Rattus norvegicus: one gene and its partners. The protein of the gene in region 4 interacts with the protein of the main gene of each other region in a pairwise test. Links are inferred from orthologs where the notes say so. Each region holds a gene or a part of one and is shown on either strand. Other genes may lie near its edges. The genes, in order: Wwc1, Zfp451, Gse1, Cdc5l, Myt1l, Kalrn and Kansl1.

Evidence for each region.
Region 1: the proteins of Cdc5l (region 4) and Wwc1 interact in a two-hybrid assay, tested with the Homo sapiens proteins (2 studies listed by BioGRID and IntAct). The link is inferred for Rattus norvegicus from reciprocal best matches to the Homo sapiens genes CDC5L and WWC1.
Region 2: the proteins of Cdc5l (region 4) and Zfp451 interact in a two-hybrid assay, tested with the Homo sapiens proteins (2 studies listed by BioGRID and IntAct). The link is inferred for Rattus norvegicus from reciprocal best matches to the Homo sapiens genes CDC5L and ZNF451.
Region 3: the proteins of Cdc5l (region 4) and Gse1 interact in a two-hybrid assay, tested with the Homo sapiens proteins (2 studies listed by BioGRID and IntAct). The link is inferred for Rattus norvegicus from reciprocal best matches to the Homo sapiens genes CDC5L and GSE1.
Region 5: the proteins of Cdc5l (region 4) and Myt1l interact in a two-hybrid assay, tested with the Homo sapiens proteins (2 studies listed by BioGRID and IntAct). The link is inferred for Rattus norvegicus from reciprocal best matches to the Homo sapiens genes CDC5L and MYT1L.
Region 6: the proteins of Cdc5l (region 4) and Kalrn interact in a two-hybrid assay, tested with the Homo sapiens proteins (2 studies listed by BioGRID and IntAct). The link is inferred for Rattus norvegicus from reciprocal best matches to the Homo sapiens genes CDC5L and KALRN.
Region 7: the proteins of Cdc5l (region 4) and Kansl1 interact in binary tests that used the Homo sapiens proteins (3 or more experiments, as listed by UniProt). The link is inferred for Rattus norvegicus from reciprocal best matches to the Homo sapiens genes CDC5L and KANSL1.

The regions. Positions count from the first base shown.
Region 1 is NC_086028.1:20,832,938-20,836,437, reverse strand, and holds part of Wwc1 (protein KIBRA), read left to right. Parts: intron 1-733; coding exon 734-842; intron 843-1,205; coding exon 1,206-1,286; intron 1,287-2,668; coding exon 2,669-2,755; intron 2,756-3,500. UniProt on the Homo sapiens protein: Regulator of the Hippo signaling pathway, also known as the Salvador-Warts-Hippo (SWH) pathway.
Region 2 is NC_086027.1:43,533,807-43,537,940, forward strand, and holds the start of Zfp451 (E3 SUMO-protein ligase ZNF451), read right to left. Parts: upstream 2,801-4,134; 5' UTR 2,629-2,800; coding exon 2,608-2,628; intron 2,093-2,607; coding exon 2,009-2,092; intron 1,958-2,008; exon of another isoform or gene 1,468-1,957; intron 1-1,467. UniProt on the Homo sapiens protein: E3 SUMO-protein ligase; has a preference for SUMO2 and SUMO3 and facilitates UBE2I/UBC9-mediated sumoylation of target proteins. Plays a role in protein SUMO2 modification in response to stress caused by DNA damage and by proteasome inhibitors (in vitro).
Region 3 is NC_086037.1:65,493,207-65,497,459, forward strand, and holds the start of Gse1 (Gse1 coiled-coil protein), read left to right. Parts: upstream 1-1,453; 5' UTR 1,454-1,517; coding exon 1,518-1,524; intron 1,525-4,253.
Region 4 is NC_086027.1:23,075,897-23,079,396, forward strand, and holds part of Cdc5l (cell division cycle 5-like protein), read left to right. Parts: coding exon 1-82; intron 83-963; coding exon 964-1,152; intron 1,153-3,500.
Region 5 is NC_086024.1:51,897,893-51,901,881, forward strand, and holds the start of Myt1l (myelin transcription factor 1-like protein), read left to right. Parts: upstream 1-1,189; 5' UTR 1,190-1,816; exon of another isoform or gene 1,817-1,955; intron 1,956-2,529; exon of another isoform or gene 2,530-2,643; intron 2,644-3,989. UniProt on the Homo sapiens protein: Transcription factor that plays a key role in neuronal differentiation by specifically repressing expression of non-neuronal genes during neuron differentiation.
Region 6 is NC_086029.1:79,755,284-79,759,548, forward strand, and holds the start of Kalrn (kalirin), read left to right. Parts: upstream 1-1,465; 5' UTR 1,466-4,265. UniProt on the Homo sapiens protein: Promotes the exchange of GDP by GTP. Activates specific Rho GTPase family members, thereby inducing various signaling mechanisms that regulate neuronal shape, growth, and plasticity, through their effects on the actin cytoskeleton.
Region 7 is NC_086028.1:89,865,821-89,870,043, reverse strand, and holds the start of Kansl1 (KAT8 regulatory NSL complex subunit 1), read left to right. Parts: upstream 1-1,423; 5' UTR 1,424-1,449; intron 1,450-2,624; exon of another isoform or gene 2,625-3,134; 5' UTR 3,135-3,249; intron 3,250-4,223. UniProt on the Homo sapiens protein: Non-catalytic component of the NSL histone acetyltransferase complex, a multiprotein complex that mediates histone H4 acetylation at 'Lys-5'- and 'Lys-8' (H4K5ac and H4K8ac) at transcription start sites and promotes transcription initiation.

The DNA of each region.
Region 1 (3,500 bases), on a different chromosome or scaffold from region 4:
GGCTGCCATGAACCAACAAAAGGTTCTAGAATCCAGTAGCTGTTCAGTTCATGAGCCTGGATGTCTCAGCTGGTCGTCAGTATACCCCAGAATCCCAAATAGCAGGCTCTCATTCCAGTGAAGGAATAGGCTTGCCAGCAAGGACAAAAACAAGCGCGCGTGCGCGCACACACACACACACACACACACACACACACACACACACACACACACACACAGAGTGTCCTTCTATAGGCAGCCATCAGAAGGAGTGGCCCGTATTATAGGTAAATCTTCCTACCTCAAAAGATCTGGATTAAAGGTTTATTTTAGGGGTTGGGGATTTAGCTCAGTGGTAGAGTGCTTGCCTAGCAAGCACAAGGCCCTGGGTTCGGTCTCCAGCTCCGAAAAAAAGAAAAGAAAAAAAAAGGTTTATTTTATTTTCCCACCCCAAAGATTGGGATTAGCAGTCGATCTTCCCAGTTTAAATTAATTAAAAGAAAAAGAAATCCCTCACAAACGTGCCCAGCCATTTGGATTTCAGTTCATTCCAGAGGTGGCCAAGTGGATAACCAAGAATAGCTATCACAGATGTGAAATCACAGGCCTTCTTCCCTTGTCTCAGGATGAGAGGGACCTTACCTGAGTGTTCAGAGGTACTGCAGTTCACTGGGACCATCAGGAGAGCAGGGCGGAGTTGCATGGCTTCTGAACATGACTTTCCCTCTCTCATCTTCCCCTCTACCCACTACAGCTGCAAGTGTGGCCCCAGGGTGTGGCCTCAAAGTGGCCTGTGTGTCCGCTGCAGTGTCTGATGAGTCAGTGGCCGGGGACAGCGGCGTGTATGAGGCTTCCATGCAGAGGTGGGTTCGCAGACGTCGTTCTGTTCTGGGAGGGGGCGGGTCTCTGGGCTCTGGATGTTCAAGCCCATGTTCCACAGAATGCGGTAGGGCTCCAGTGACCTCCAGGGCCATGCCCAACATAAGGACAGCAAGATGCAGGTGGTGTCCAAGGCTCCTCCAGCAAATGTGGGTTCTGGGCGACAACTGCCAAGTGTAACCATGGAACTGGATGCTACAGAAAGGGAGTCTATTGTAGAGTGGGCTCCCAAGCACAAGGGAAAGCGAGGGTCCAGAGAAACACTGGGCACACACCAAGAACCCTGATTCCAGAAAAAGCCTTTGTTGGCGGGCAGGAAGCTAACCCCTTCCTCCGGTGTCTTTCAGACTAGGTACTTCTGAGGCTGCTGCATTCGACAGCGACGAGTCGGAAGCTGTGGGTGTCACTCAGGTTCAGATTGCCCTGAAGTAAGTGATGGGGGGACAAGGACAGAGGGAGGGCTTACATAGGACCTCTTCTCCACTGACCATATTGTACCTTCCTGGCTATCCAGGGAAGAAGAGAACCCACTATCCTTGGTGGGCTCTTGAATAGAGGGATACTGTCCCCTTCACCACAGATGAGGAAGGCCAAGTTTCTTGTAGCTGGTATTGAGCGGGACAGAGGCAGATGACATAGGCGTCCTGTTTACATAGCATCTACTTTTTAAGGTAGTCTTTCCATCCCCATCTAGGTTCCAGTGTTCCTACCCCAGGCTGACCCCGGGGACCATAGCCCAGCTCTGACTGATACATGCATTGCTGTCACTGCTGGCTTCTCTCCCTGGGGGTGGTTTCTATGTTTTCTTATGTAAACATTTTAATGTCAGAAATACTCACACGAACTTCTGGTACCTCTGTAAAAATTGAGCCGAGTGGGCCAGTTGGGTGACTTCCCCAGTCAAAGCATTTACCGTGAGAGCCTGAGATCGATCTCCAGAACCCACAGGGGGTCAGGGACGGGGAGAACTGACTTCCAAAAGTTGTCCCCTGACCTCCAAATGTGTCCCATGGTGTGTGCACACATGCACTCATATCGACTCCCTCTAACCATAATAATTAATAAAGTAACATTTGAGAAACTTAAAAAACTAAAAAGGAGCTTGAAAGACCGACTTGGTGGTTAAGAGTCATCAGTAAAGCTGCTCTTACAGAGGGCTCAGGTTTGATTCCCAACATATACTGGTGGATCACAACAGCCTAAAACTATACACACACATGCACGCACGCACATGCACACACTTAAAAATATATGTCTCTAAAGTAAAATAATCCAAGCATGGTAGTGCATATCTTTAATCCCTGCACTCAGGAGGCAGAGTGCAGACGAACCTCTTGAGTTTGAGGCCAGCCTGGTCTACATAAGCAAGTTCCAGGCTGGCCAAGGCTACATAACCAGACTTCGTCTCAGTAATAAACAAAGAAGTAAATAAATAAGAATTCTGATGACTGCCAGTTCTGGACCTGTGTCTATCTGGTCATGGCCACAAAGCTGAGGGTGAGCGCTGTCTAGCTTACCACACTGGACAGAGAAGCCAGCAGCCGTGACCTATAATTGCCAAGAAAGAAAATGTGGGGCATGGTGACACACACCCTTAGTCCTGGCACTGAGAATGCAAGGTAGAAGGATCTCTGGGAGTTCAAGGCCAGCCTGGTCTATACAGGCTAGCCAAGGATACACAGTGAGCCTCTGTTCTTTAAAAAAAAGAAAGAAACAAGGGAGGGAGGGAGGGAGGGAGGGAGGGAGGGAGGGAGGGAGGGAGGGAGGGAATGATATCCTAACCGGTGTTCTACATGTCCCTTCATTTCAGATATGATGAGAAGAGTAAGCAGTTTGCAATATTAGTCATCCAGCTGAGTAACCTCTCTGCCCTGTTACTACAGCAAGATCAGAAAGTGTGAGTATTGAGTATTGCGTGTCACCCTGTCACCTGCTGTGCTTCTCCCTGGGAAAGCTCTTTAGCTCCATCTTGCTCCAACTCCAAACACCACTTCGGCTATTTCCTGCCGGTGAGCATGCTGGGGCTGCCCATGCACACACAGGCCCAATGGCAAGCTCACCAGCTTTGGAAAGTGCCACTGTAGGTAGCTCTCCCACTTCCTGGTACAGCCTGGATGCCCACCACACACTGCTCTAGGAATGCTGGGCGTGCCGATCCCCCGTGGAAACCTCCTGGACTGTGACCTCATGAGAACAGTCAGGTCCCTGTTGTCCTCTGTAGGCAGAAATGACTCTCTGGTTGTCTAGCCAACATTGGAAGTGTGTGACTGGTGTTACCTGGAGGCCACTAGGTTGGCAAGCGCCAACACTGTCTGCCTGCACCCCTGCTGTAGACTGGGCTTATGTTATATTGCAATCATTCACCCTTACATCCACCATAAGGCCTGGAGAACTACGGTAGTTGCGACCTGGGGTAGGGTGGGGGAGGGGGTCAGAGAAGACTGACAAAGCCCAAGGAAGACCAGACTGGCTTAGCTTATCTCTATTGTCTGCCCCCTCAAACAATGCTAGAACCAGAAACGCCCGCCGGGTTCTCTTAGGTCCTTGTGCATGGCCATCTGTGCCTAGGAGCACAAGGTCTACCCAGACAAAGACAAACACATTTGTAGTCCCGTTAGAATTGTTGGTAAAGTGTTTGCTAT
Region 2 (4,134 bases), about 20 Mb from region 4:
TCTGCGTATCTGTATTACTCCTTTCAGCATGCTACCTACATTAGTGAGACACAGAAAGCCTCTTGGCCAATGGTAGTTTGCTCTTGTACAATTCTGCCATACATACAACATATTTTTGTTATAAATTACAACCTGATAACCAGGACCAAGTAAACCAAGAAGTCATATCATAATGTAGCTTGTATCTGGACAACTCAGGCAGAAGCCAGGTTTTTATCTTTAGTAGACTGGAACTCCCCACGGGACAGAACTGTTGTTGCAGAGCTCAGGCTTCTGTCTCGGGGTCTGGCTGCTGCAGTGGCACAGCAGCATCGTTTATTTCATAAGGTTTCACTATATAGAACGCAGCGGTCTAGAGCTTCCTAAGTCACACTGCCTTCCACTTCAGGATCCTTCTGCCATCACCTCCCCACTGCTAGGATTCTAAATGTACCTTAAAATAAAAGTAAGCTGGGTTGGGGATTTAGCTCAGTGGTAGAGCGCTTGCCTAGCAAGCGCAAGGCCCTGGGTTCAGTCCCCAGCTCTGAAAAAAATAAAATAAAATAAAAGTAAGCTATCACTCATTATCTTTAAGTGATAGCCTTATACACACGGGCCACGTTTTACATATTCCTGATGCAAAGACAGACCTACCTTTGTAGTTAAATTTAAATATTACTTTTAAAACTCGGATCAACAGACACCTGAATTAACCAGTTACAAATGATAATGGTATTTCACCTCACAAGATATATAACCAAAAAATTTACTTTTTGAATCTTACTCTTTCCGTATTCTTATCAGTTTCTCAAAAGGCCACATTCTATAATTAAGGGTTAACTCCTGCCATTTGCATGAGGCATCAGGTAAATATTGTTTACAAATACACCTGATTCATGAACAATCCAAAATATTTGTCTCAAGGAGTCATATAAACCTTTATCATACATATCATGTACTAATCACCAACATTCTCCTTTCTTCAAAATAACTCGTCTATTGGGAAGAAAGGGACAAGACACAATGTATCCCCAAACCTAACTCCAGATCCCCAAAGATCAAAATGAAAAGGACAGCGTCCAATAGGAAAAGTGCCAAGAAAAGGATTTTATGGAGGGCTTCCCTCTTAACCCCCTAACACACCACACCCAATAGACTGACATGACTGACGGCTCAACGTTGGCGAGGATGGTCTTTAATAAGCACTAGTCTACAGTTGGCTGCAACAAATACATATGGGCTGACCAGTAAGTACAGAGCTTTAATGGCAAGTTCAGCTAACTTTAGCATTTCAGGAGAGCTATGTAAAGCAGGGATGCTCTCTGGCCACATACTACTCTAAGAAGAACTGATGAACAAACTTAGCCACCATAGGTGAAAAATCACCCAAAACTGATTCTCCTCCCTCTTGCCTCTTCCCTCTCACCATCACTTCCGGACCAACTGGGAGATCCCAGTGTCCCCCACTGTATTTCAAAATAACAATACCTAGGCTCTAGTCTCTGTTTCTGATTCCACAGGTCTGGAGTGGGCCCAGATCTTACAGCTTCTACTCAATGCTAGAGAAGTTCTGTCCCCAAAGGAATAAAACTTAGAAAAACACAGCAGTGCTGCAGGTGATGCAGGCCTCCTCATTGTGACCAACAATTGTACTGTGCTGTAACAAGATGACCTCAGAAGTTAGGGAAGTCCTCAGCTATTAGAAGATACACCACACAACCCTTAATTCCTACCTCCCAGGCTTTTGTGTGTCTTCCTTTGTGTACAGATGTTAAATTAAGCCCTGGGAGGTGCAAGAAATGCCTAACATGACACCCACTTCGAGGTGGCTACTGCAATTGTTCAATTTCCCATTGAGGCAAGCATCTAGGTATCCCTTCAGGTATTAGTCCCTTGCACCAGTGTGGGGCAGCTTTCGACATTCATGACCTATCTGTTGAGTGACAACTGCCTGCCTGGTGGGGTTTAATCATACAAAGGCTTACCATACTTTCACTCCAGCAAACCACGATTGTCAGTCTCTACTTACACTAACAAACTGAATGTCATCTTCGTTTTCATCCGCCGTTGACTCTGATGGCTCGGGCCCAGCTGGTGGGACAGATTCTATTATCTATAAACAAAAGCCAAAACAAGCTTATCTATTCAGTCACAGGATCGCAGGAAGAAATTCTTCCCAAAGGAACGAGTTAAGACAAAAGCTCCTGAAGGGAAGCAGCAGGATCACAGGAAAACCGGTTCTGGGAACTGCATGGAGGAGACCGGGTTTGCAAAGGCGTCTTGGAGCTAGTTCCCCAAGCGAGCTGCCACAATTTCCCTCCCCGCCTCCTCTAGGTGCAGAGATGCAGGCTCTAAACCTCTAGGACCGGGGATACAGGCTACAAATACAAGGCCAGCCTGCTTCCAATCCCTTCTCACCCTCGGGGCTGTGGCTGCTGCAGCTAGGGCGGCCAGGGGCTGGGGGCGGCCGGACCGCCATTGTTGAGGGCTACACACAGACGTGCACCAGGCCCGGAGGCCCCGCACTCGCCCGAGGCCGCGGCCCGGCTGAGGCCCAAAGCTGAGAATACAAACCAAACCCTTCGGGGTCGGGCTCGGCGGAGCCAAGGCCCGGGCAGCCACACTCACCTCCGGCCCTGGGTCTCCCATTTCTCCCACGGCCTGTCAGCACCACGCTCCCGCCGCCGCTGCTGTTCCCGACGCCGACGCCGCCGCCACGACTTCCCTCTCGCCCGGCACCGCGCGACCCGCCCTGCGTGAGCGCCCACGCAGCTGACGCCTCGGGCCGCGGGGACGTAGAGCTGCCGGACCCCAAGCGCGGCCTCACTGCCGCTAGCTTCCAGCGCCGCTTTGTACGCTCCCCGCCTTCCTCCCGCCCCGCTAGGGATTCTGGGAGTTGTAGTTTCCACCGGCCTGGAGGCTGAGGACCGCTTGGCGGGGAAAGCTGGCGAGGACTTGGAGCTCAGCGCTAACCTGCGTCTCCGGAAGATGGCGGGAGGAGGTAGTGAGGGTCTCGAGGTAGTTCTGAGTCCACGCGAAATCTCGTTCTGCTGCCGCCTTAACTTGAGAGACATTGACAGGGAAAGAGCTCCTCTGGCAACAAGCGAGACGGATGAAAACATGGAAGGCTTTCATCCCAATTACATCTTGGAAAGGCAGCAGGGGCAAGAGCTTATATGGCGTTCCTGAGAGGTCATTAATTCTTGCAGAAATCTCACAAAGTGTTTTCCTTGTTGTCCACAGGTTATCAGACTGCGTATGGTTCCTGTAAACTAAAAGAAGCATTACTGATTAGGTCCCAGAGGGCTGCTGCTGGTCTTTCATGTTTCTCCCTTGCTCTTTTCAGGCTAGGTTGAGTTGATAGGCTCATTACTTGGACACAGAGGTGTGTGCAAAAGGAATCCAGTGGAAAACAGATCTGGTAATGTCAGTTAACCCTTTCAGACCTTTAGTAATCATACTGCTATGAAAGCAAAGCTTGGTGGTCTTTGTTTCGGGCCAGAAGGATGGATGAGTAGGTTTCAGTGAAGTCCACGACCTGAAGCGCCCGAGCTATTCAATCTCTCTCATGTCTTCTACCTCCCAGTGCTACCAAGTATTCAGTCTCGCTAAAGGGCCAGAGAGAGGAGCAAGGAGTAAAGGTGTAAAATTTAGGGTTCGGTAGGAAAGTAAAAGCAGCTAAAGTCTGAATACCTTTCATCACGAAATCCTAGAAGAGTATTAGTAATAGTAGTAGTAGTAGTAGTAGTAGTAGTAGTAGTAGTAGTAGTAATCCTAGAAGAGGAGGAGGAGGAGGAGGAGGAGGAGGAGGAGGAGGAGGAGGAGGAGGAGGAGGAGTGAAAGATCTCCGCAGGGAGACCCTCCCTCAAGTATCGGGAAGTCGAGGCCCCCAGACACACGAGAGACCAATCTTGATGTAATAAGCAGAGGCAAGGTTTATTTTCAGAATTCCGGACCGACACATATCTCTCACAGGAGACAGGGGTGTCGACCCCGAGCAGGTAAGAGAGGGACTATTTAAAGGGAAAAAACCACAAGACCCAGGGAAGGAGAAGACGTCAGGGGGAAATGCCAAAGATCCCACAAGGAGGATCTCCCAGAGTCAAAGGACAGTCCTCACGTCTCCAGTGTTTTACGGTCAGCTAGTTCCTGGGA
Region 3 (4,253 bases), on a different chromosome or scaffold from region 4:
GCATCGGCGGCTTCTGCTGGCGCGGGCCCCGAGCGCTGCCCGCCGCCGGCGTCATCGAGAACAGATGGACGGGGGGTGCTGGCGCCCGCGCTCGCTCCCTGCGCTGTCCCGGCTGGCGCGGGAGGGAGGAAGGCGGGGGAGGCAGCGCGCGCCTGCCGAGCACTGCGCGGGCATGTCCCGGGGCAGGTTTGGGGCTGGCACCGCCGTGGAAAGTTGAAACCCGCAGCGGCGCTGAGGTGCTCCCCCCGGGGAGGTGCAGTGGCCTCCAGGCTCGAAAGTATGAAAGCGGAGGATCATTAGAGAGCAGTGTAGAGAGGGCGGGCGGGGGAGACCCCGGGACCTCGCGACGACCTTGCCATCTCTCTGGCTGCTCCTTGCGCGCTTGGTCCGGCCGAGGGACCCAGCCGGGCTTGTCCTATAACCCCGCGCCTCCCGGGTGGTGGGAAGGGGACGTCCTGGGGACCGGTCGCGTTGGGGGCGGGGACGCTGGGGCCCAGTCCCTCTCCGCGCCGCCTGTGGGTGCCGAAGAATTTCAGGACGCTCCCTGAGTCATCCCGGTGAAGTGCCTGGGTGAGGTAGGGTGGGTGGGGGCATCAAGAATGGGAAGGCGGTGCGCTGGGGCCGGTGGCGCGGTGGGTTGTGCCAGTTTCTGGAGGCGGCGGCAGCGGCCTCGCCTCTGACCGCAACCCCAGCTACTTAATGATGCCCCTGGCGCAGCGGCGCCTCCGTGGACTTAAGCTTCTCGAACATGGGCTCTTTAAAGAACTCGACCCCCCCCCCCCCCGTGTGGCCTTCACAAAAATTTCTTAAAGATGGAGACTTTGCAAAACTTTGGGTCAGAGGCTCGTGGCCCCAGCTCTTAACATTAAATCCTTTAAAGTTGCGGTAATAGATCAGGCATCTTGGAGAGCGAGGGAGGCCAGCGGCCTATATTGTGTAGTCCCCTCCACTCAGCACAAGGAAAGTCCTCCTGAGCGCTGGGTTTATCCCTCCCCTCTCTTAGTGGGTGGCCAGGTGCCAGGCACTGTTCCAGGCGCTTGGGGAGGCGGCTTTGAGGCTCAGATATGGCAGGCGGAGAGGAGTGTTGTAAGCCACTCCTCTCTACTCTTGGGAGATGAGTGGCCCGCGAAGCCTCGAAGAGGTCCCCCTCGACTGTCCAGCCCGGGTCGCCAGGAGCGCGGGGGCGGCACCTACCCGGCGGGCTGTGACCGCGCTGGGTGCTCCGGGCGGTCCGTCGGTGCGCGCGCGTGCGCTTGCGGCTGAAACCCGACACCTCCCGCCGGCTGAGGTCAGGGCGCCGGGAGCGAGCCGGGGCCGGGGAGTGGGCGGCGTTGCGCTTGGGTGTGTCCTCAGCGGCGACAGCAGCAGGTGTTTCTTGGCCCAGGCCCCGGAAGCTCCACCTCCCCGAGCGGCCGAGCCGCCGCCGCACAGCCCCGGGTGAGATAAGCAGTTCAGACAAACCCGGGCGACGGTGGCTCCGGCATGTGTCAGGCGCGGCGGAGCAGCGGGGCCCTGGCATGAAAGGTGAGCGCGCGGGTAGGGGGGTGACGGGGGTTCCCTCGCTCTTCCCCTACCCAAGTTTGTGGGCTCGGGAGGGGCGCCAACGGCCGGTGCCAGGTCCCGCGGGTGCGAGGTACGAGAAGCGCGGGGCGCGCGGCCGACCTGAAGCCACACTCGCGGCTGCGCGCGCGCGCTGGGCGCAGCGAGCTCTGCGACCGCGGAAGTGCGCGGGGAAGTGTGCGGGGGCGGCTCCGGGGCTCGGGGTTGAAGCAAAACTTTGGATGGGGCGGGGGTGCCCAGGCAGGTGGTTGGATCGGTGTGGGGGACGCCTTGCCTGGGATGGCAGTTCAGGGGGCCTCCGCGACCCCGCCCGGCCCTTCCCGCTCCGCCTGGATGCGCCTCCCCGCCCCCCGCGGCCGCGCTGACGGCGAGTGGCCCGCCCGAGTGGAGCCGATTCAATTATATTGCAGCACCAGAGACACCTCGTCGCCCGCCGCCTCTCCGGCAGGCTAATTAAATTCCCTTCTTGGAGGCGGAGCGGGAGCTGGGCTGCCCTCCCCGCTGCCCGCCTCTCCGAGCGCAGGGAGGTGGAGGGGGCCGCTTAGGACTGCGAGGAGCAGGCTAGGGGCCGCAGATCTGGGTATCGGAGCCCGGAGCGAGCGAGGGGCGCCCCCGCGCACCTGCCACTCGTGGTGGGGGTGCCAGCTCGAGTTGGGTCGGTTTGGTGCTTGCAAACCAGCCTTTGTCTCCATGCGTTTAAAGCACACTAAACCCTTGCTAGACCCCTGCAGTGTCTTATCTGTCGCGGTTGGGGCCCACACAGGTTGGGGTTTGAAAACAAAAAGCGGGACCACCAAATGGAGGGGGGGCAAAATACAAGATCCTTTTGTAAAGGGGGCCGGAACAAAAGGCGCAGCCTCACTCTAGGAGGGAGCATCGGGCCTAAGCCGATTTCCAGCAAAGGGGACAAAGGCAGGAGGTCTTGGCTGGGCGCTTGGCAGTGTCTCAGTCTCTTGCCTGAGACTGTTTTACCCCCTCTTCCCTAGGAAGACAGGGCCCCCCCTGGCGAGCAGCCTTCCCTGGGCGTCCGTGTTACTTAAGCTTGGCTACTTAAGTGTTGCTCAGCCTGTGTTTACAGCCGCCCCCACCCGCAGGCGGGGAACCTGAGGCGCAGGCTGTGTCTGACTCAGCCGCTCAGTCGCCCCGCCACAGGTGAGGGGGGCCGGGGCACAGGCTCCGACTGGCAGCGTGTGTCATCTGCTGTGCTGGGTGTCACGCCCCACCGGGTGGACCGGAACAGGGTTGCTGGCAGGCTCACCCGATCGGGTTCTGCTGTGCAGAAGCAGCTTGCTCAACACTTCTCACAGGCACCGGGTCACGCCTGACCACCTCCTGGGGGGTGCCTTGATGGCTTGGTACAAGGTTGGCTTTTGTCGCCTGGTCTGGCAGCAGGAGCGGAGGAGGCTGGGGGAGGGGGGAGGCGCTGGTGAGCAGCCAGCCAGAGACCCGGGGTCAGCCCCGCCTTCGGAAAGGAGGTGGGAGGCCTGTCCTAGCTTTGGGCTCTGTTCTGCCTGCCTTAGGGCAGGTTCTGAACCAGGAAGGCTAGGAGGCCAGATCAGGCCCTGACCTGTTGGGGGCAGTTATTAGGATCCTGACCGGTTAGGGTTGAAAGGGGGTGTATATATATAGTTCCTTTAAACTTAACATTTTAAAATTACTAGGAGCCAAGCCTTGTCAGGCCCCCTAACCTTGGGGATGACCTGGGGCAATTCTGTTTTTAATGGGGTCGGAATGTCAGGAAGGTTCCGAAAAAGCTTGACCCTTTGGAAGCCTCTGTTGCTCTTGGCAGAGCTGGCAGGCAGGCAGGCCTCTGGCTGTGAGTAACTTCCCTGTCTCTCTGGAGGAAGTTGGAAGCTGCAGATCTCAAAGGGCTGTGTGGTTTGCAGAAAGGCAGCCACCTCAGGACTCTGCACCTCTAGCCAGAGGAAGGGGGAAGAAGAGGTCTGCGCCTCTTTGTGGTGGACCAGGGGCCTGCACCTCCTCCAGGCCCTCCATCAGCCCCAGCCCGCTGAGTCCCCAGCTGGCCTTGACCCTTCAGGCAGGTGTGGTCTATTTCCCTGCCGTGGAGGAGGTCTAGCCTTGGCTCCCTGCTGGTTCCCCCCCTCCCCTTCCTAGAGACTCACTGTGTAATAATAGCCAGTTGCCACTTTTCCCCCTTGCCCCCAGGAACCCGCAGGGGCTTGTGGAGTGAGCCAGCAAGGCCGGTTTTTCCTGGCCCCATCTGCAGCCTTGGAATGCCCAGCCTGGGTTACTCCAATGCCTGGTGGGGTTGGATAGGAGCCTTCTGGTGGGGGGAGCACGTTAATTACCCGTGTTGTGGCAACAGCCACAATCCCTCTATGAGGCCTAGCCCACGTCTTTCCCTCTCCCTCCCTCTCCTGGGATCTCGGGTCGAGAGAGCATGTTTAACCTGCAGAGAACCTCGTCTGAGGTGACATTTCAGCCTGGTGGCTGTGCGGCAGACCTGCCGACTCACTTTAATTTCTGCCCCCATGGAGTCTCAGATCTCCTCGGCCTGGCCAAGTGCAGCCCGCCAGTACTGTGCTGGCTTCACTTCCCACGCTGGCCTTTCTCCCCCCGCCCCCAGGCACACAGGCCACAGCCTGGGAGGTGACGCTTCTGAGTGTTCCTGTCAATGAGAATTTATCGAGCGCCTCCTGAACCCAGCCTCGCGTTCGCTCGCTGCTGGGAGG
Region 4 (3,500 bases):
TTTACCATCTGCTATCCTTCAAACTAGTGGTGTCTCTGAGTTTACTAAAAAGAGAAGCAAACTTGTGCTGCCTGCCCCTCAGGTAACTGGAACAGTCTATCATCCTGTGGATTTACAAGCTTACATCAGACTCAGTAAATAGAGGTGGGCTGCTGTCTCAGGCCTGTGCTTAATGCTCAAGAAACCATAGTTTAATGGAGAGCCACGTGGAGAAAAGTCCATCGGTGAGCGCATGAGCACAGTTCTGTTATGTGCTCCCGCTTTGAGTGGTGGCAGTTCTTGGTAGTTCTTAATTGAATTTTTCTTTAATATTTCTAAGGATATTTCTTTTGGTAAAATTACAGAAGTACACTTTTAGATTTTCCTAGAGATCTTGAGGTTTAGTGGACTGTGTGATATTTAGTTGATTTTTCAATAGTATTATCTTCTCATTAATAGTTTTGTACAAGTACTTATGTTCTTGGTGCATTAAATCTGTCAATATATTGATTTAAAACATTTTGACTATGCCTAGTGCGTACACACCATTGGGATGATATGAAGATTAGTGTGGCTCCCATGTAAGGGTGGCATGCACATATATGATCCATTCTATATTTACAAAGGGGAAACAAAGCTGGGTGGGGAGGAGGTTGGAATATATTGGGAGGAACTTGGGGTGTTAAATATCGGTAAATATTGTATGGAATTCTGTAAGAATTAATAAAAATCCTAAAACAGTTTTAAATACAGAAATACAGCCATTGCAGCCAGTTGTTTATAATGTGAACTTTCCCCCCATAGTAAAAGGAAGACTTAAAATTTTATTTTGGAAATTTTAAAGCCAGGCGAAATTAAGTGGTACAGAGAGGCCTTTGTCTTTCTGCCCTTGACCCAGCTTTAGCAAATCATTCTCTGAAACATGGAATGTTTAAGCTGCACTGCTCCTGTTAAAGGGATTACAGGGCTGGTCTTGTCCTTTAGATTTCAGATGCTGAACTCCAGGAAGTTGTCAAGGTAGGCCAGGCCAGTGAAGTTGCACGGCAGACTGCGGAGGAGTCTGGGATCACAAACTCTGCTTCTAGCACTCTCCTGTCTGAGTACAATGTCACAAACAACAGCATTGCTCTGAGAACACCACGGACTCCAGCCTCCCAAGACAGGATTCTACAGGTATGCTGGCACTGTTGATTTGATCATCTTTGTGTCACTGTGGAGGACACCATATGGTTTGGTTGTGTATTGGTTGGGCCAGCAGTTTGATGGCCATGATCCCAGAGCATTTCTTATAGCACAGAAACCTAATTAGCAGGCTAAGTGGTCTGAACTAGCAGGCTCAGTGGTGACCGTCTGTTCATTCACAGCATGTTGGTGCCGGCCTGCCCCTCTGCCCCTCTGCCTTCATATTGTTCTTGTCAGGGAAGTACAGATTTTGCAGTTCTGTGCTTTTAAGTTTTGTATGTGTGGATGGTTTCTCTGCATACATATATGTGCACTATTTGTGTGCCGAATCTGCATAGTCAAAGGAGGGTGTTGGAGCTCTTGGAACTTGAATTACAGACAATTACATGTGCTGGGAGTTGTGCCTGGGTCTTTAAGAGCAGCCAGTGCTTTTGTCCTCTGAGCCATCTATCCATCCCTCCCTTCCATTTGTTGGTACTTGGTAGCCACTGTGCCTGAAAGATTGTGGACCTGCTGCTGTAGGTCCTCACGGCTGCCTCAGAACACTGGGCATGGAGCAGAGCAGTGCAAGGAAGGACACTGCATGTGCAAGGGCCTCCCACAAGTTGCTGCCTCCTAGTGGCACCCTTTTACTTTGATTTTGCTTTTGAGGAAAGAAAGGGGAGGGAGATTGTGGGAACATTTCAGTATAATTATATATTTTTCAGTATAATCAAGTTGACAGACTAGAATAGGAGACAGCTCCTAGAAGAGCCAGTATTCTGCTGGGTCATTTGGTTATATTGTTTTAGGGTGGTTTTTTTTTTTTTTTTTATTCTTTTTTTCGGAGCTGGGGACCGAACCCAGGGCCTTGCGCTTCCTAGGTAAGCGCTCTACCACTGAGCTAAATCCCCAGCCCCGTTTTAGGGTGGTTTTAAGGATAGTGTGTTTTCTACCTTTGTGTGTTTATTATCCTGGTACCTAAAGTGAGTCATGTTACCTTTGCTCTTCTAGATGTAGTGTTGTTTTCTCCTCTTATGTAGAAGTTGTAAGTCTGTCTCTTTCTAAGAGATACTTTGTATTTGGAATATCAAAGCATGCTCAGGACTTTTGATAGTATGAAATTCTAGACTCTTCATGAGAAGAGATACTCAGAATCATGGAGCAAGTCTTGCTCTAGTTGTCTACATTTTGCCTCTTAGTAGTTTAGACAATTTACTATACTTGTGACTGCTGTGGGTTGGGGATTTAAACAGGGCACAAAAGGTGACTTCCCCCTGCCTTAAGATGTCTAGTACCTCAGCTGAGAAGACTCAGCATTTGAGGGTGACTTGACAGGTAGTGGCTAGAACACATGGAGTATCATCCTGCATGTGTGGTAGTGATGCTGGATATAGGTTGGTGACTTAGCATGGTGCATGGCATGAGTTTACGTCTGCATCTGCATGTGGTTTATGCGTCTTCAGCATGGCAATTGAACTTCTCTCCGGTACCTCAGACTGATATAAGAGGTGTGAGTGTGGAGAGAAGCTACATCATGGTTCTAAGCTAACCTTGGACATCAAGCCATGCTACTCTTGCTGTATTCTCTGTCAAGGGGAAACACAAGCCCACCTACATTTAAAGGGAGTGGGAGGAGAAGAACACTGAAGACACAGACGAGTATGAGAGAGATGTGTATGTGCCTGACTTTGAAAGGTAAAGTCTGCCTTAGACATGGAGCTGGGAACTATGATAAGGCAAAGACAGTTACAGGAGGGTGAGAACTAAAAAGAGCCTGATCATTTCAGTCTTAGCCAAAAGGTTGAGAAGGCTGAGACATGACCAAGTCTTCAAAGAGTCTAGGTGAGACTTCTTAAAGCAGTCTGATCCTATGAGTTTTGTGGCATGCATTGGCAGCTTAGGTATGTTTCAACTTCCCAACAGAAGCAGCAGAGACTCAGAGTTGCTTATGAACATTAGATAAAGAATTAGTGATGAAGCTATTCTGAAACCTAGGTGTTGTGACATTTGCCCTCAGCTCATATCAGGAACTTTGATTCTTAGTACTTGATGGCGTGGATACTGGGAGAAGCTCTTGGATAATGGCAGTTTCATACTAAGCCCACAGCACTGTTTCCCCCTGCCCCTTAACACAGAGGCTCAGGTGGCTTCAAACTACTCTGTAACTGAAGGTACCCCTGACTGCTGACCGCCCTGTCTCTCCACCCTAGGTGCTCAGGGTTGCAGGCATGTTGCATTCACACCAGTGACGGTAGCGTATCTTGACATGGAAACTTTATTCAGAACTCCTGATGTGATGCGTTAGGTGGGCAAAGGACTGAAAGCGCCGGCCTGTTCCAGAGCAGTATTCACTCTCT
Region 5 (3,989 bases), on a different chromosome or scaffold from region 4:
AATGCAAACACGGAGGGATCTGTGACCACACGTGCCTGGGGCTCTCCATGGCAGTTGAGGAGCTGCATGAGTGAGACAGACTGCTGAGAAGGACTTGCTGATGGCCACCAACTCATCTGCAGAGAGGTACCTCTTCCCTTTCCTTTAAAGGTGACATGTGGTTGCTTATTTGCCTGGCTGCCGCAGCTTCCAACTCCTCTGAGTGATTTCGGAGAGTCTCTTAAGTAGTTCCCATAGCCATTTCTCCACCTGCCTGGCCACCCTCCACTCTTTTTTTGGTTACACACTATGACAGGATGGCATGATTTGGGGTACAGAGGGCCAAGGATGGACTCTCTTGGCTACAGCTGCCCCTCAGATGAACATGCCTATGATTGCTTGTCTGTAGTCTCCCAGAGTTGTTCTCCCCAGGAGTCTGGATGTCAAAGCTAGCTTCCAGGAGGGGGAGGTACCAAGCAGCCTTTATGACCGAGTGTGCTCTACCAAGAGGCTGGTGAGGGAAGGGGACAGCTACTTCCACAGAAAAGCATTTGTTGCTTGCCCTAAGAGACTATTTATAGAATCAGCACCTGGGGGTGGGGGTGGGGACAAAACAAAACAAAAAACCCCAAACAAACAAAAAAACCCCAAATGGCACAGAAAGTCATATAGCTATTTTCTTTTTGTGGTTTTGGCATCTTACTGGGTCTGTTCTTTTTTAAAATAAACTTTTTGTGTTTTCTCTTCTTCAAATGCTGGTATCATAAGCCGGTAGTGCTAAAAGTTACTCAGAGAATAGTTCTGTCTCTTGTTTTAAAGGAAAATGATAAAAGGAGCTTGTGCCCGGATGGGATACTGTAGTGTGGCTGATAAGCCAGGGAGATGGTGGGAACCCTTGAGTTAACTCTCTGGTGCCCGTTCTCCAGTCTTAAGAACTGCCAGGGGAGGCCCGGATGCCTTTTTGATTTGTTTTGATGTGTAGCTGTAGTTCCAGTGAAAACACCAAGGTTCTGCTGACTTTGGTGAGGTTTCTTGGACCACTATATGCATTTACCATAACGTCAACGATAGGGGAGATTTTCTGAGATGCATCACCTAGCGGATAGCAGCCAACAGTAAGCCTCCGTATTTACAGTTCTCATCTATTACATTAAATACAGCACTGCACATCACACACTCGGCTCTAGAGATTTAGAGGCCTGTGGGTACAGTGTAGGAAGCACACAGCACACATCCCAATCTTGCCTGACTGCTGAAAGCCTAGTAAACAGGAAGGCTAGAAATTACTGGTTTTAACTCACAGCTGTTAGGTTGAGAAACGTCTAGATCAGTGATGAAGTTAGGGTTTGAGGAAATGGCTGCGTTTTGTGTTGCTTAAAGGACAGCAGCCCGCCCGAGCAGGGTAAGTCAGCAGGATGCTCCCGGTGTGCCTCTGCGGCAGCGATGTGGTCTCTAAGGAAACCTGTGCCTGATGCTCGCAGCCTGGGCAGTGCTGGCGGCCCAGGGCCGTCTGTCTGCTGCCTGCTGATGGAGGCTGCGCCGCATCCACCAGGCAGGGCTCTGCACGCATGCCCGTCTTCCCCGGCGTTTAGTGGTGTCAACTTATTAATTTCCATCTTCGACTTCAGGCCTGTTAGTTTCCTGTCTGAAAGCATTATTACTTTTGTCCATGTGGCAAAATAATTAGCATACAGATGAGAAGTGGCCCCGTGTCTGCGCGCCGATAGAGAGAAGATGTGCGGTTCGAAGTTGATTGGATGAATGGAGAACAAATGGTGGGCGTTCAAAAGCATTAGAAGAGTTTTGTAGTCGCGGAGCAGGCTGGAGAATTTTCTGGGTGAGTCCCTGAGATGGAAGGCAGGGGTGGCTGCCGTGGGAACAATTGCTTGTCAGAGACTGGCTTAGCTGAAGGTGCGCAGAGGGACTGCAGGAGCAGAAAATCCATTCTTCAGGTTTCTCTTTGAAATCCCCTCCAGGTAAATGTGTCCTGTTGTTTCTGGAGCTGTGGCTGCGCTTCCCAAAGTGGAGCAAAGTTCAACTCTTAAGGGCAATAACAAAAGAATAGTCTTTTGCTGGTGCTCGGGTGGCCTCTTCATCCATCTTCCATGCATAAGTGTGAAGTGAAAATTAACTGTTTAGAGATTAGTGTTTTCAGAAATTTACAGCAGCCATTATTCAACGGGTTTCATTAATATTTTCTGGGACAGTGTATGGAGACCAGCAGAATTAGCAAATGTTGTTTTGATGAAAGCTAGACATAATTAGTTTTGACTAGTATATATTTTTCCTAGCTGGAAGGAGATTTTAGCTCATTTAACCAGTTACTTATTGGGGACAGTGGGAACTGAACTGATGCTTTTTGTAGGTCTGTAGGATGCACAGAGGGCAAATGTTAAATGAGTACAACCTTTGATACTGAGTTCTTTTGAGAAAAAAAATGATATTTTTTTTCCAAATCAGTTTTCTGAGTTCATGAGTAATAACGAGGCTTCCTGGAGCCTGGAGTTTCTATTGTCAACAGTGGCATAGATTTCTTATATAATTCTGGGACTAGCTTGCTGGAGCATGGGTGTTTCAAAATTCAGTTCAAGATGCTTCTGGCGAGAGTCACTGATGAAGAGTCCTTTCCTGTCTTAAGGATTCCTACCCTCCTTAGAGGGAAAGGTGTGCATTTTAACTGACCTAATTATTTAGTTTGTTTTTAAAGTTAAACTTCAATAGACAGCACAGTCTCTTAACTGGATCGCTGTAGTTTCTCGGATGTTTTAGGGCATGCCATGCTTTCATTTTGAATTTTTAAAAGCTTTTTCAAAGTGTTGCTAGACTTTAGAAATGAGAGCGAGTATGTGACAGAAATACAACTTTGGCGGGGGGGGGGGGGGCTGTGTGTGCTGAGTGGGTGTGATTGGTTCTGTTTCAGAAAATATGCCTTTATAAAATTAAAAGCAACGAATACCTTCAGTGAACCCAAAGCCTCAGGTGTGACACCCTGGGAGCAGGCTTGTCCCTGGTATGTAGAACTTGCCTGATTATTTTCCTGCTTAAATTGCAAGTTTCTGGATATTCACATTAAGATGTATTTTTTTTGCATAATAGGGAAAATCTCAATTATCCTATAAGTGCATACAAATGTTGCTTCTATCACATTCAAAAAATTAGCCAGGAAGCCAGAATGTGGGGAGAGAAAAACAACTTGGGTTTTAAATGTCTAGTCCAAAGTAACGAATACCCAAGAGTTCTCATTTTTTTTTTCCTGAACTCCTACCTAGAGGGAGGCTGTGCCATACTCCTCTCCCATGCCAGTTCCCTTGCAGAGTTGGAGTTGGGTCCATCTTTGTGAGTAAAATAACTCTCTTGTTTTCTGATGGGCTATAACTTTCTTGGAGCAGACATTAGCCTTTCCTTTTTACCCTCTGCTTGGCCATTTAGGAGCAGGGAAGCCCTTGAATGTCACTTATTCAAGAGGCTTCCTTTGTGCCTGCTTCCTCTCACAGGTGAAGGCCATTCCATTTTTTTTTTTAAAAGGGCCACAATTATGTCACCGGAGTTTCCACTTGAGGGAGTTACTTTTGCCGCTTGCAGTCCTGTCAGCTTTCAAGGTTCCTTGCAGTTGATAGGGGCTTGATCCAGAGACAATGAGCTGTCTCTGAGCTGGAAATATGTTCATAGGAACCAGCCTGAAAATGTGATTTCTAAGGGGACTTTTTGTTTTATTTTCTTTTATTTTTAACTTTCCCTCTGAGGTTGGATATCAACTTTAGAAGAGATTACAGCCTTCCATAGCTAAACCATGTAATTCATCCGTGAGATTTCAAATGTCCGGTGCCCTGTCTTAGCTGCTCTGTGGGCAGTGGTCGCACTGGGGGCTCTGTATCCCAGGAGCTCTGCCCTGTACCACATGTTATGCCTATGAACAGAAAAAAAATGTCAATAGTTTTCTTCCAAAATGTCACTTGAGCTTATTTCCTTTACAATTCTGTGCTGTGGTATGTTCTCATACACTAAAGAGA
Region 6 (4,265 bases), on a different chromosome or scaffold from region 4:
GATGTATAGACTTCACTTGTCTTCTACTGCCTTAGGGTGTCACCCTTTTCCAAAGTGTGACTATTTCTTAAGGGCCTAGTATTAATTTCTTATTAAGACACTGAAGAAGGGATCAGTTTATTATACCTCTGTGCATGGGACCTAGCTCAGAGGAAGCAGACCCAGATAGAGGAACCTTATACGGCTGAGAAACAGCTCTGTCAGTTGGTTGGGCTGTTGGGGTGGTGCCCTGAAGGTGGAGTTTGGTGCAGTGGGGAGCTTCTTGTGGTTTGCTGGAGAAGAAGGAGTCCTCAGAGGAGGACAGGGAAGGGTGAGGGTAGATTTCTTCTACTTGACAGAATGGTTTTAAGCTGGTGCTGTAAGAGGTTTTGTGATCTCTTTCTAGATTAGGAGAGAGAGAGAGATCTCCCTGAGGTCAGTGGTAAACAACGGGAAAGCTACATAAATGGCAGGGTCAGTGCAGGCCAATCAGCCCTGTCTTGAGGTGACATTTAAAGCCATCGTACAGATCGGCAGTGGACCTGGGGCAGAAGGAATGTTTTCTGAAGCTCAAAGGGAGCCAAGGATCAATTGTGTGTCTAAGAGCCATTTTGTCTACCCCTTCCTGTGTGGTCCTCTGCTAGATCTCTCTCTACTTTGGAGAGCCTTCCAGGAGAGAGAACTCAGGGTTCCTCTGTCCTGGACTCCTAGGGTGTGTGGGCAGGCAGGGTACTTTGTGGAGTTTAACCAAAATACTGAAATGAAGCCAGTGCTGAAAGTAAGAGAGGAGAGCTGTGACAGAGCAGACAGATCACCATCAAAGAATCACCCAGGGGAGCTGAGTAAAGATTCAGGCCTCTGGGAGTGCGGCATCTGCATGAACTGCCACCCCTCCAAGGTGAATCTGCTGCCCATTAAACTTTGAGAACTCTGAGATGAGAATGGTGACATTAGCTGGAGAGGCCTCTTGGGAGAGGTGGACTTAGATTTCAGAGTCTGGGTGATAAGTCTTTCAGATATTGTCCTCATGTGAGGACCCAAGGAGTGTGTTCACCTGGGGACACCCGGCTCTCACAGGAGAGGCTGGCAAGCGTCCACACCATTCCCTAGATGGTGTTTCCGAGATGTCCTGACTTCCACTTACCGCTTGGGCAGTATTTGCTGAGGGGACAGAAGTGCTGTGGAAGGTGACTGAGGATGGTGTCTGCCAGAGGGTTTGGTTCATGTTGGAGCCAAAGCACAACTTGCAGGGCAAAATGGTTGGCTGGCTGAGCCTACTTCCTGGTGTGGGGTAGGAGGAGAACACGGTGTCTGTTGAGCAGTCTTCATTCTGGTTCACAGATACCAGCAGCTGTGCCACCTCACGTGTGGCCTTTACTTGCCGGTTAGCTGCACGCATCTGAGGCATGTGGATTGTGCCACTGAGGGAGCAGAGGTCCCGGTTGTCCTGGGAGGTGAGTGGGGAACTCTCTGGGACCTGATTGGTTCTCTCCTCCCTCACTTCTTCTTGCCTTCTGCTCCATCCACTTATGCTGGCTTTATCCGGTTGAGAACACAGTGTTTCTTCTTTTGGGTGGGTGAAAAGATGGAGAGAGAACAGTGCCAAGAAAGGAAGAAGGAACGCCGAAGGGAAGGGAACACATCGTGGTTGTGGCAGTGAGTATCTGCAGAGGAACCAGGCAGGCAGCAGCCCTCTGCAGTGGTTGGGTGCTATTGGCCTGCAGTCACTGATTTCAGCGGAGGGGGAAAGAGCCACACAGACAGGAATGGCTGCCCCCGCTTTGGCTATCATGAAAGAGCCACCGTCCTATCATTGTTTAAGACAAAACAATAACAACAACAACACCCTACCTACCTAATAAGGTCCTGTCCTGGCAACGTTCTGTCCTTTCTAATTGCACCACAGCTGAATGGCAAGCCTAGCAGTCTCTTAGAACATTTTATTCAACTTCTACCATGGCTGTTTTAAAGGAAGGCTTACAAGGCTCTGTGGGAATAGCAGAAATGAGCGGCGGTGGGCTGGGAAGCACCAAGACGCCCTGCTTAAAGGACTGAAGCCAACTGAGAGTAAAATTCCAGGCTGAATAGCTTCCTCCTGGGTTTGACCCAATGGGTGATGCTGTGTTCCAGGGCTCACTGTGTGTGGCGAGGTGCGTGCACCCATGTTGTTCTTAATTCTTTCTTCTGTAGAGAATGACACCAAGTAAGAGAGGAGCTCCAGTTGGCCTCCTCCTTCAGGCCCACTATCAGCACCAATAGAGAGTTATAGTTTATATATGTGCTTATAAGGGCATGAGGGCTGCCTGTCTGTTCCCCAGGTGATGCTCCTCCCACAGTCCCTCTCTGTCCAGGTCTTCTGTTGCGGTAGGAGTCTCACATTTCAAGTTTCATTTAAGAGGCTTTAGGAAAAAATGACTTTGGCATTCTTATTTGGAAATGCGCTCTCTGGCCAACTGTAAGCCACTGACCAATGGGACATATCAAAGGCTTGTTTGTCAGTCATCATATATTCTGTGCCTGTGGCATGCTGGCACTGCCCCTGCTTCTTGAGCACTGCTGTTAGCATAGCCCCACTGTGAAGGTCTTCCACCTCTCCAGGAAAGGTGCTACATTCTCTAGGGAATGTCAAGGTCCAGAAAACGTGATGAGGGGGAGCCAGCTCACACCTATGTACCATTTGAAACTTGTTCAACTTCTTGAAAGATGACTTTGGTTCTCTTTAGACAGGGAAGGTAATTCTTCTCCAACAGAGCTCTCGGGGTGGTTAGGGCCCAAAGGAGCTGACAGATGCGAAAGTACTTTGTGAGCTAAGAAGTACTGGCCACATGTGAGTGAGCCATAGAGTCTTGTTATTCACAAAAGGGAGGACTATGGACCATTTCTCTCCAGAGAGGAGAGGACTTTGCATTTTTGTGTTAATGACTCACGAGATTCTTGTCCATTTAAGGCAGTAACAAAATTGCACTAACAGAGCCTGAGAGGTATCTCCTTGGGTGGTGAGGACTCCGCTGTGTCCCACAGCTGCCCTTTAAGAGGTAAGAAGGATACTGGGCAGGGCAAGGGGTGGAGATTGTGGCTCCACCTACTTTCTCCCTCTTCCTGCTAGTTCCTGGACGTGCCTCCTGCCTAGTCTGAGTCCTTTAGAAACATGCAAACTATTTCTTTTGGCTCTTTTAAAGGAAGGCTTATGGGGCTCTGTGGGAATAGCAGAAATGAGTGGGGGTGGGCTGGAGAGCACCAAGACGCCCTACTTAAAGGATTGAAGCCAACCGAGAGTAAAATTCCAGGCTGAACAGCTTCCTCTTGGGTTTGACCCAATGGGTGATGAGTCCCAGAAATGGCAGATGCTGGAGGAGAGCCCCTTTGACTCCAGATGCCTGATGGAGACCAGGAGGCTGGGAGTAGAAGCTGCCATAGGTAAGCCGAAAAACAGCTGTGGGGAATGTGCACTTGGCTGTTGAATGGAGGTGCTCTACACCTGGAGTCCCCTCTGCTTTCCTTTCTGTGATCAGGATCCCCTGTCACCCGAGGGACAGCCTTCTCATGTAAGTGGCCAGCCTACTGACCAAGCAGCCTCAAGGGAGGCAAGAATAGAGCACTCTGCTCCTGCTCTTGAAACGTCTGCAAGCCTGAGTCAGTGTCCAGAGGCTGACGTGCTACAGTCAAGCGATAGTCAACGCTTCTCCTGCCTTCCACGTGGAAAGGTGTGGGTTACCTAGAATCCCTTGCTTGTTCTTTCAGTCAGTCGACACTCACTTGCATTAAAGATTGAAGTAAAAGTCACTTGAATGCTTCTGAGATAAGGCACTACATTAGGCACCTTGAAGATTAAGGAGCAGATCTGAACTCCATGTCGTTTATGTTTCGGTAAGGTAGACAAATTGTATACAGAAGAGAAAGTGGATTGAAGATGACGTATAAAGGAAGGAAGATTGGGGACGGCCTGGACTCTGTGGCATTTGAGTCAGACATTGGAAGATTTAGGGTTTGACCCTAAGAAGGGGTACGGAGAGAAGGGGCCCTGACAGGAGGTATTGGATCAGGGGCATAGGATTAGAAGGTCAGAACTATAGCGAACCATTTTGTAGGGGCAGGGGAGAAGGGCAAAGAGAACCTTTTGTCTGCTTCACTTACCTGTGACACCAGGAGCTTCCCTCCTTCGTGCTGAGCCTCATAGTTCCTCTGTGAATAAAATGCTGGTCTTTCCAGTCATAGAGGAGGAAGCTGAGGCAGAAGGCCAAGAGGTGTTAAGTAAGAACCAGGATTTGAACTTGAAAGTAGCATTG
Region 7 (4,223 bases), on a different chromosome or scaffold from region 4:
GGCAGAACACTCAGACACATAAAAATACACATCTTGTAGAACAAACTATATTTTAGTACAAGCAGCGTTCTTGGGGCTTCTCTGTAGCCCAGATGATCCTCTGCAGTGAATCTGGTCTGTGTCCTCAGGTTTCCTAAATGCATTTGATACGATGAAAAAAATTCTGGGAGAATCCTTATGTGTCAATAAGACTGAAAAAGTTAAGATTTCTGGCTTATGGGTATTTTCTTTTTAGTTCTTACTGTCACATGTCTACTATGGCCTAAAAACAGTTCTCTAAGTGTAGCCTCAAGACCTAAGGATCTCTCATAGTTTTAGTATTCTTGCTCCTCTGCCTTCGTGCTGTTTTGCCATTATTTTAGCTGGTTTTTTGTTTTGTTTTGTTTTGTTTTCCGATTTGAGAAAGTTGATCGTTCAGTATGTTGACTCCTCATTTGTGGATTGTTTAGTCTCCCCAGTGTTTTGGAATTCCTCAGAACACACTTATTACTGGTATTTAAAACAAACTAAAAGGTAAGACTCCCCAGTACATGTGAATGCTGTCCTGGTTTTCTTAGATAACCATTTTGTTTCAAAATATTTGGATTCAAAATATTTTTTCTTTTCTTTCTTTTTTTTTTTTTTTTGAAATAGTCTCTTTGTAGCCCAGGCTGGCTTTTGCACTTAATAATTTTCTGCATGAGTTTCTTGTGCTATAATCACAAGCATATGGATCATGCTATGATAATTAATATTATTTTAGCTGTAATGTTTGTGGATGGCACAAAAATCAGTATCTACAAAGGATGTGCCTGAGAGATTAAGTATTCCTCTTCCTTGGTCTGCTGAGAACTCCATGTCATCCAGGAGGCAACCACTGTTAACACCTCTGAGAGTGATTTTTGACTCAGCTTTCTCTCAATTCCTTCCTGGTCTGTGAGATGTATGGCCTTTCCAGGCCCTCAGGACCTCAAATCTGGTTGACTTTAAAAACAAACATTTATATATGTGTATATTTTATGTACATATACAAAATCTCTCCCTATGGCCTTCCGGGCCGGGTTCTCATCACATCGCTTCCTGGATGAAGAACCTGGAAGGGTGAGGTGAGGGGCAGGGGTTGGGGGTGACAGAGAAGGGGACCTGAGGGACTGAGGCCAGGGGTTGAGTGGTGGACTGCTGTGAAGCACTGTAGGGATTCCTATTCTTATTTCTCCCACCAGGCCGCCCTCCAGCTCCGTCCAGCTCAAGCCTCTCCTTTCCTAGGGCCGAGACAGAGACAGAGAGATACAGAGACAGAGACGCCAAGGCACCAGCATCTCTCCCCCCCTCCCCATCCCGCCCCATAGCTCTGACGGACGTCCACTCTTAGCCAATGGTGCTCGCGAATTGCCCTCGGCGGGCCAATGGGAGACAGAGGAGGGCGGAAGCTTGCCCGCCCCCCACTCTAGGCTTGGTTGAGCCGTGCAGGTAGGTCTGGGGCCGGGGGAGCTGCCGTTGGCACTGCTGCCCCGGGGGGTGGGGGCGCGGCGGGTCGGGGTGATGGTGGTGCAGGGTGGCGTGTCTGGGCCGGAGGACGCCGTGGGGGGCGCCGTCGCGGGGCGGCGGGAGGTTGAGGGGTCGCGGGAGCCGGCGCCGCGGAGGGCCCTGAAGGCGGCCGGTCTGAGGACGCGGGGACGCGTGTGTGGGGCGCGGGGACCCTCGGCCGGCGCCCACCCTCAAGGCCTCGGCCTCCGGCCGTGGACCGCGGCGTGCCGGGCGACGAGTGGCCACAGGGCCCGGGAGGGGGGCACCGAGCACAGCCGGGGGCGCCAGGCCGAGCGAGGTGGGACGGACCGTGGCAGGACGGGAAGCGGCATCCCGCGGGCCGCCCCCTCCTGAGGCGAGTCGGTCAACAGCCACGGGCCCCGGGCCGCGAGCCCCAGCCACGGCCGCCCCCCTCCTAACAATGGGGACCGGGCCGGAGGAGTCGTGGGCCGCGGGGGATGGGAGAGGCTCCCGGACGAGGGTCCGAGGCGGGGGAGGGGCGCGGACTCGAGCTCGCTGGGATCTCGGCCCCGCGGTCCTGTAGAGCTGGGGTCCTGTAGAGCTGGGGTCGCGTCGCGGGGTAGTGTGTGGGGGTGCCCAGGCTCGCCTGAGAGTCGGGTCAAGAGTCAAACTCCCGTCCCCACCCCCCAAAATCCAATGAGCGCTAGGCAAAGTGATGCCAAGTGTCCCTAACCGAAGTGACAAACGTGGAGACAGCAAACCCACTCCAGAGCTTTATTTTTAAAACGGGGACATCGACTCTGATTTTAAGAAATTATTTTTAAAGAGGTGAGTGTGTTATTTTTGTGTTCCTACTCGGGCAAGCCTCCATTTTAAGTGAAGCAGTAACTGGTTAAGCTGGAATTTTCATTCAGGCCTAGGACATAGGCTCCTAGAAGGAGTCATTTAGTCCATTCTTCTGAGTCCCTGCAAACTTAACACCCTCCATCTTCAAAATTAATTCCTCTGGTCTGCTTTTAAAAATCTCTGGAAAAGAATGGTCTTTTCTTTTTTGCTTGTACTTCGGTGAGGAATAGATGCTACTTACTTTTTTAATGTAGTTTCAGCTCTGAAACAATTTTAAGAAAAGTTAAAAACTGGAATTGTCAGAAGTTTTTTTTTTTTTGTTTGTTTACCAAATAAAATAGTTGTACATCTTTTTAGATAGTTAATAAATTATTTTCAGTAGTGTTTATGAAATACTCTGGTAGTAATAACTTTTCCTTTAGGATTTTAGTTTTCTGAACCTTTGATAAGTAATTTTCAGTTACTTAAGATTTACGTTGTTCTTTGATATAAAATATATTTCTACACACACACACAGAGATAAACATATGCCCTTTACAAAGGGAATTTTATATTGTATCTTTTTCCTTCTTGGGGGGTTTTGAGACCATCTCAATAAGTAGCTCTCACCTGGCCCAGAACTCACTGTGTCTACCAGGCTGGTGTTGAACTGGTAGATAACAGCCTGCTTCAGTCTCCTCTGAGTGCTAGGACTAAAGTGCACCACGCCCAGCACTTGTACACTTTTTAAGCAACTAGTATTGAATGCCTTTCCCAGATAGATTAAGCTATTTACATATGCTATTTTTTCCATCTAAGTGAAAAAAATTCTTCCTTTTCAGATCTCCTTAATTCCTTATCCGTGGTAACTGGGGAATTACTTAGTCTCTTCCTGCTTATTTCTGAGTTGTCTGAACTATTCCTGACACTATGTATGCTATTTGGATGCCTCTTAAGGTAAGATATATTTGCTTTTCGTTATTTTTATTTTGTTATTTCATATATGTATTTTAGAATCAAGAATACTTGTTCCCGTGTGTTTTGAGTCAGGGTTTCAGAGTCCAGGCTGCTCTGGAACTTTGTAGTTTGCTGAGCATGGCCTTAACTTCATGTATTTGCTGCCTCTACGTTCCAAATGCTAGGATTATAGGTGTTTGCTACTAGGTCTAGATCTACCTAGAATGTTCTTGAACCTGTGGCTCTTCAGGATACCCATCCTTAGAACCATTAGGTTCTTAGGATTTGTTATTGCTGTTCTTGATTGCTGCTGTTCAGACATTAGTGAAGTTCTTAAATTAACTCTATAAGGATGGGTTCCAGTTTTTACTTATTATAGCTTACATCTTGTGAAATTATGTTCCACCTGGTAGATGTGTTGCCAATTCAGACCTTGAGGTCCATTTTCAAACTGGTACTTCAGAGTCATATGAACTTGGGCGTGTCCCACTTTTGCAAATCAGTAGCTGATTCATGTGTTACAAAAGATGTGTCATTAACCATTTGATTGCTCTGACATTTCACGCAGTATATGTGTTTATTCTTCAAATGCCCTGCTGCTCCTCAGGCCAATGTGTGAGTCCTTACACTTTTTTTTCAACAGGTGGCCATTGTGCCCTTTCCTTTTCCAGGGTGTGCAAGATACGCCTCATTTGGGCAATGTGGACATGTGACCATTTGATAAAAAGATAGTTCTTTAAGTCTCTTGTGGCTCTTTCTGTTCAGAGATGGCAAAAGAACTCTCTAGTAGGACTGAGCTGTGAAAAGTGAGGAGATGAGAGAAAGGACCAAGGCAAGATCAACAGTGAAGTCTGTCAGCCTCTCCTTCCCTGATAGTTAGATACTGGTGTAGCTGGGATTCCAGCATAGTGCAGTGGGAGAGCCCTAGTGCAGTCTGAATAACCTAAACATTTGGACTTTTGGGAAATCTTTAG